2 linked regions of the Saccharomyces cerevisiae S288C genome follow. The protein of the gene in region 1 interacts with the protein of each later gene in a pairwise test. Each region holds a gene or a part of one and is shown on either strand. Other genes may lie near its edges. The genes, in order: GIR2 and RBG1.

The links.
Region 2: the proteins of GIR2 (region 1) and RBG1 interact in binary tests that used the Saccharomyces cerevisiae proteins (3 or more experiments, as listed by UniProt).

What each region holds. Positions count from the first base shown.
Region 1 is NC_001136.10:763,688-767,276, forward strand, and holds GIR2 (Gir2p), read left to right. Parts: upstream 1-2,018; coding exon 2,019-2,816; downstream 2,817-3,589. Other genes in the region: NUM1 (Num1p), read left to right, coding at 1-187; putative mRNA-binding protein CTH1, read right to left, coding at 491-1,468; ENT5 (Ent5p), read right to left, coding at 3,049-3,589. UniProt on the Saccharomyces cerevisiae protein: Acts as a negative regulator of the GCN2 kinase activity by disrupting the GCN1-GCN2 interaction in amino acid-starved cells.
Region 2 is NC_001133.9:74,220-77,927, forward strand, and holds RBG1 (GTP-binding protein RBG1), read right to left. Parts: upstream 1,934-3,708; coding exon 824-1,933; downstream 1-823. Other genes in the region: YAL037W (uncharacterized protein), read left to right, coding at 1-604; FUN12 (translation initiation factor eIF5B), read left to right, coding at 2,208-3,708. UniProt on the Saccharomyces cerevisiae protein: Involved in ribosomal function.

The sequences.
Region 1 (3,589 bases):
AGGGATAAGTTTAGAGGACATCGCTGATGATCCAACAGATAATATGTATTCAGGAAAGATTTTCCCATTGCCCGGCGAAAATACAAAGAGCTCCAGTAAAAGACTTAGCGCATCGAGAAGGTCCGTATCTACAAGGTCTCTAAGACATAGAGTACCACAAAGCCGATCATTTGGCAATTTACGATAGTTAAAAAAACTAAATAACTCTAAGTAAATTAAGAACAATAATAATCATTATTTCGATTTTTAGTCCTGTAAACACGTTTGCCACCGATGAGTAACACTGAAAGATCAGAGAAAGAAAAAAAAATTCTACCTAATGAAATAAATAAACTAAAAAGATTAAATTAACTAATTCTCATGTTAGTAGGTCACGAATTCTTTAATTTTGTTTTGTGACTGAAATAAATATGAAAACGATAATGAATAAATAAATAAGGAGAGGCAGCAGAAATACGCCAAATATTCAAAGGGCTTTGTTGTTGACCGACTACCAAGTCATCCTTTGCAATGCTTTAACACTAGTATGTAAGTTCCTAGGCTTACTCAAATTAGTGATATTATCGTTGTTGCTTGGGGCTAGGGAAGTAGGAAGTGGAGTCAACGCCGTATCCTTACTTCTTCCATCGTTAGCATTTTGATATATTTCAACGTCCTTATCATCACCGTGTTTGAAACAGCAACGCTTACCGTACGGACAGTAGCCTAACTTCGACCAATTTATGCAAGGTTTAGTTCTATAATTGTTTGATTTTTTCTTGAATTTCAGTTCATTAAGACCATGAGCAAATTGGCATTTATTTCCATACTTACAATAGCCTTTAATAGTAAAAGATTCACAGAGCTCAGTTTTGTATAAGGTCTTATTGACTAATTGAGGAAGCTGCAAAGGTGCCCTTCTACAAGGTTCCAGTTTTGTTGTTTTCTGAATTGGAAGTGTGTATGGAAGTCCAGTAGACTGAGAATCCACCTGAGATAGTTTTTGTAAATTCTCCGCTGTCAGGGGTAATGAAAATGCACTTGTCGTGTAAGTAGGGTTAATCTCAACTTCGAGTGACCTTTTCTTACGTTTTTTCTCAGTTGTAGCAAGTGTTGAGATGTTATTATTGCCTGCGAAAGGGTTATTAATAGGTAATGTATTTGTAGGTCTGGAATCTGATATGATCAAGTCTTTAAAATCTCCCAACGGATGATAACAGTTTGGTTTGGATGGTAACCAAGGAGAAGGCCTTGGTGAGTATTCACTTAAAATGTCCGTTTCATTTATATTATGCCCCTCGGAGCTGCTGCTGTCATCATTATCGGTATTTTCATTGAGCAGTGTCTTTATATAATATTCTTCGATTTCTTTAATCTTTGACTCGTACTCCTTGTTGAGATCAGAAAAGATCGAGGACGTAGTCGTTGAGGTCGAATTGGCATTCGGTATGTTTAAATAGTAGCTGTTTGGAGCAACATTCGGCATCATGGCTAGTGTTAATCCTTAATAGTTCTTATTGGTTGAGTTGCCGAAGAGACTGTGATATAGGGTTCTACGGCTTTACAATCAACTTATGGGTGAAGAGGCTAAATAAGATGTGACTTGTTAAGAGAGCAAGCGCAACAAGAGTGCAAAACCGTCACACTATGTCCAATGATCTACACTATCAACCTTTGAGTTAATGTTCTCTGATCCAGTATATTAGTAACTGCTCACACTGATCAAGAGCGTGAGAGAATACGAGCGAAAAAGAAAGAAGAAAAATTTGGGTGCCATTGGCACAGACCCTAAAAGAGATGTGAGAGAAGTGGGCCATATATGTATATTTTTCCCGAATGTCCTAATAAGTAATGATTGGAAATCCTAGGTCTATAAACTCGGGTAACAGAAGGTGGAAAATGAAAATTTTCTATTTTCCAATTGTAAAATCAGCAGGCATCGTTAGATTGGCTTTAAAGAGCTGAGTTTCCCATGCTGTCGGTTGGTATAATTTAAGGAAAAGCCCTCCCTCCATATCCAGAAGGCACTTGTTAATACTATGGATTATAAGGAAGAACAGAAGCAGGAACTAGAAGTTTTAGAGTCCATTTATCCTGATGAACTGAGGATCATAAACGATGAATACCCAAAGATTAAATTTGAAGTAGCCATTAAATTAGAGCTGGATACAGGTGATTCTACTTCTGTTTTAACCAAAGAGCACACTATAATCGCCGAATTCAAGTTACCAGAAAACTACCCTGACGAACCATGCCTGATTTCATTGGAAGCTCAAGAAGTAGCCCTCAATGACAACGAAGAAGATAACGAGGAAGATGAAGACGAGGTTGAATATGACGACCATGGTAATAAAGTACTGAAAAAGTTTGAAAACCTGCCAGATTTAATAAGCTTTAAGGGGTACTTGCCTGAATTAACCGTACAATTAGAATCGCAAATCGAAACCGATATGTTATTGGGTATGCAAATGTGTTTTGCATTGATTTCATCCATAAAAGAAAGATGTGAGCAATGGTATAGTGAACAATTGAATAAGCTCGAGAAGCAGTACGAGCTGGAAGCACAAGAACGTGAAAAGAAGGAACAGGCCAAGTTCCATGGTACTAAAGTCACAAGAGAATCGTACTTGGAATGGAGGTCTAAATTTCGCCAAGAACTGAAACTGGATGAAAGAGACCAGGTGAGAAGGATGAAGGCTCATCATGGGAAGCTAACCGGTAAGCAAATGTTTGAACAAGGCGTGGTGGGCACAGGCGACGAGTATATGGAAGAGGATGACGCGAGTGTAGATGACGTAGCCAAGGGACTTGCCAAGACCGAAATAGCAAATCAATAAATACTTGTGTACTTAAGTATTTAAGTATTTTCTTCTGCATGGATAATGACATATACAAATGTATCTATATAATATTTTTTTGATATTCAATAAAAAGAAAACTGACATTTGAAGAAGGAAATAGACAAGTTTTTAGTAAGATATTATTAGTGTATATATGGATACATATATCTGAGAATGAAAATTTGTTGACTGTATTGAATGTATTGGGAGATGAAGGGGTATTTGGTGATTAGACCAACGACTTGGAGTAAGAGAATAAGTCGGAAAATGCATCATTTCCCTTCGACTTGTCCTTTGTAGCCTGAGGACGGGCTTTTTGCTGTTTTTTCTCCGCAAAGGGCAATGATGTTTGCGCAGCAGCGGTGGTATCTGTGTCTGACTTTGGGCCATCCCAGTCAAGCAAATCATCTATTTTACTATTGGAAGTTTTAGGTGCTGTTGTGTCGGGACTCGTTTCGCTTTGGAAGTCGCCAAACTCATCATCATCATCATCACTATTGCTGTTGATATTATTGTTTTTGTTGTCATTATTACCATTGTCTATTGTTATATTATTCGTGGTGCTAGTACTATCGTCAAGATCGATTAAGTCAGGGATGCTATCTTGTTGTTGCTTTCTTTTCCTCTGCTGTTCTTTATTTTTGATCTGCTCTCTTAATATCTCCCTTCTTTGTCTTCTTTGTTCTTCCATATGAGAACGCCTGCGAGTATTCGAATTTGCTTCTGTTTCCACAGGAACATTGAAGTTGGTCACATTATTAGCATCCATT
Region 2 (3,708 bases), on another chromosome or scaffold:
TTCGGTAGTCGTGAATCTTTGCTCACCAACTACAGCAGCAGTAGCAACAAAGAAGGCCGCAATTGATTTGTATATACGAAACAATACAATACTACTACAGAAATTCGTTGGACAGTACTTGCAGATGGGCAAAAAGATAAAAACATCTTTAACACAGGCACAAACCGATACAATCCAATCACTGCCCCAGTTTTGTAATTCGAATGTCCTCAGTGGTGAGCCCTTGGTACAGTACCAGGCATTCAACGATCTGTTGGCACTCTTTAAGTCATTTAGTCATTTTGGAAATATCTTGGTTATATCATCACATTCCTATGATTGCGCACTTCTCAAATTTCTTATTTCCAGGGTGATGACCTACTATCCACTAGTGACCATCCAGGATTCTTTGCAATATATGAAAGCAACCCTGAACATATCCATCAGTACATCCGATGAGTTCGATATTCTGAATGATAAAGAACTGTGGGAGTTTGGCCAAACCCAGGAAATTCTAAAACGTAGGCAGACGAGCTCAGTCAAGAGGAGATGTGTCAATTTACCAGAAAACTCTACGATCGATAACAGAATGCTTATGGGTACCACAAAGCGAGGTCGCTTTTGAAGAGCCCTCGGTAGCATAACATTTTTAATTATTACGACTGTTTTTTTTATTCATTATGTAGAGATAATTAAATGTTATAGATGCTCTATACTCAAACGGTGGAAGAAAAACAGCGAAAAAAAATAACCGATACCCCCTTTTCGAATACAAATGCTTGTATATTCAATTATGAATTATTTTTTTTTTTTTTCATTTCTTATATTATTTTTTGTTCGAGAATCACTTTTTCAAGATGGTAACAACATCTTCGTCTTCCAAAATGTGACTCAACCCCACGTATTGAGGTTGATGTTTGACACTGCTACCGTAAACCAGAGCATTTCTAAAGTCGTCCACTAAAGATTTATGAATTTGGTTACAAAAATCCTTGACACTGCAACGGTCTGATCTTAGCACCACAGGGTCGGTAAAATCTGGTATTTGGCCCTTTGGTTTAGTGTAAATACGGACTAGATTTAGTCTATCCCACATGACTTGCAACAGCTCGTCCAAGTTCCAATCTTGACCAGACGAAATAGGCACGGCATTAGGAATTCGGTAAAGTAATTCCAATTCCTCTATTGACAGAGAATCAATCTTGTTTAACACATAGATGGCAGGCATGTATCTTCTTGACGAAGCTTCCAAAACATCAATCAAATCATCCACAGTGGCATCACACCTGAAGGCAATCTCAGCGCTATTTATTCTGTACTCGCTCATAACGGCTCTGATTTCGTCATTCCCCAGATGGGTCAATGGGACTGTGTTTGTGATGGAAATACCACCTTTCTCTTTTTTTTTGATCAAGATATCTGGCGGAGTTTTATTCAGACGAATCCCCACACCTTCCAGTTCCTTCTCAATGATTTGCTTATGATGCAAGGGTTTGTTCACATCTAGGATGATAAATAACAGGTTACAGGTTCTTGCCACGGCAATAACTTGCTTACCTCTACCTCTACCATCCTTAGCACCATCGATAATACCAGGTAAATCCAACATTTGGATCTTGGCACCTTTATAACGAATGACACCGGGGACGGTAACCAGGGTGGTAAACTCGTACTCAGCTGCTTCAGACTCAGTACCAGTCAACTTGGACAGTAATGTAGATTTCCCCACCGACGGGAACCCGACAAACCCCACACTGGCCACACCAGTTCTAGCCACATCAAAACCAATACCAGCACCACCACCGCTGCCGGATGAAGCACTGGTCAACAATTCTCTTCTCAGTTTGGCCAGCTTGGCCTTCAGTTGACCCAAATGGAAAGATGTGGCCTTGTTCTTTTGGGTACGGGCCATTTCATCTTCGATAGCTTTGATTTTTTCAACTGTAGTAGACATTTTGCTCAATCAACAACTCTACGCTTGCACCTACTGCATCTAGCTTCAAACACTTCCTATCATTGCGCCCTCATCACACCGTAATATCCCATCTTAAAAGTGGAAAACTCTTATAGCTCATCGATGAAAAAAACGGGCCCTCGTCGCTTGTGATGTGAAAAAATTTTTCAAGCTTTAAGCCCATTGAAAGCAAGAGATCTTGCACTAGAATAAGTGGCAAAGGTGAACTTTGAGGGGATAAGAAGGGCAATCAGGAACATCAGATAAGTGAAAGATGGCGAAAAAGAGTAAAAAGAACCAACAGAACTACTGGGATGAGGAATTCGAAGAAGACGCCGCCCAGAACGAAGAAATCAGTGCCACGCCAACTCCAAATCCAGAAAGCAGCGCAGGTGCAGATGACACTTCCAGAGAAGCAAGTGCAAGTGCTGAAGGTGCTGAGGCCATTGAAGGCGACTTCATGTCTACTTTGAAGCAATCGAAGAAGAAGCAAGAAAAGAAGGTTATTGAAGAGAAGAAGGATGGTAAGCCTATACTAAAGTCCAAGAAGGAAAAGGAGAAGGAAAAAAAGGAAAAGGAGAAGCAGAAGAAGAAAGAACAAGCTGCCAGGAAGAAGGCCCAACAGCAAGCTCAAAAGGAGAAGAACAAGGAGTTGAACAAGCAAAATGTTGAAAAAGCTGCTGCTGAGAAGGCTGCTGCTGAGAAATCCCAAAAATCTAAAGGTGAAAGTGATAAACCAAGTGCTAGTGCTAAGAAGCCAGCCAAGAAAGTACCTGCCGGTTTGGCTGCTTTGAGACGTCAATTAGAATTGAAGAAACAACTTGAAGAACAAGAAAAGTTGGAAAGAGAGGAAGAAGAAAGATTGGAGAAAGAAGAGGAGGAAAGATTGGCCAACGAAGAAAAAATGAAGGAAGAAGCTAAAGCAGCTAAAAAGGAAAAGGAGAAGGCAAAGCGTGAAAAACGAAAGGCTGAAGGTAAGCTATTGACCAGAAAGCAAAAAGAAGAAAAGAAATTATTGGAAAGAAGACGTGCCGCTTTATTGTCTTCCGGTAACGTCAAAGTTGCCGGTCTGGCCAAGAAGGATGGAGAAGAAAACAAACCAAAGAAGGTTGTTTACAGCAAGAAGAAGAAGAGAACAACCCAGGAAAACGCCTCCGAAGCCATTAAATCTGACTCTAAGAAAGACTCGGAAGTTGTACCTGATGACGAACTCAAAGAATCCGAAGATGTTTTGATTGATGATTGGGAAAATTTGGCTCTTGGTGATGATGACGAGGAGGGAACCAACGAAGAAACGCAAGAATCCACCGCAAGCCATGAAAATGAAGACCAAAATCAAGGCGAAGAAGAAGAAGAAGGAGAAGAAGAAGAAGAAGAAGAAGAAGAAAGAGCACATGTGCATGAAGTTGCCAAAAGCACACCAGCAGCTACACCAGCAGCTACTCCAACTCCATCCAGCGCTTCTCCAAACAAAAAAGATCTTCGTTCCCCAATTTGTTGTATTTTGGGTCATGTCGATACCGGTAAGACTAAATTGTTAGACAAAATCAGACAAACCAACGTTCAAGGTGGTGAAGCTGGTGGCATCACCCAACAGATTGGTGCCACTTATTTCCCCATCGACGCTATTAAGGCAAAAACTAAAGTTATGGCTGAATATGAAAAACAAACTTTTGATGTCCCAGGTCTTTTGGTTATTGATACCCCAGGTCACGAATCCTTCTCTAACTTACGTTCAAGAGGTTCTTCATTGTGTAACATCGCAATTTTGGTTA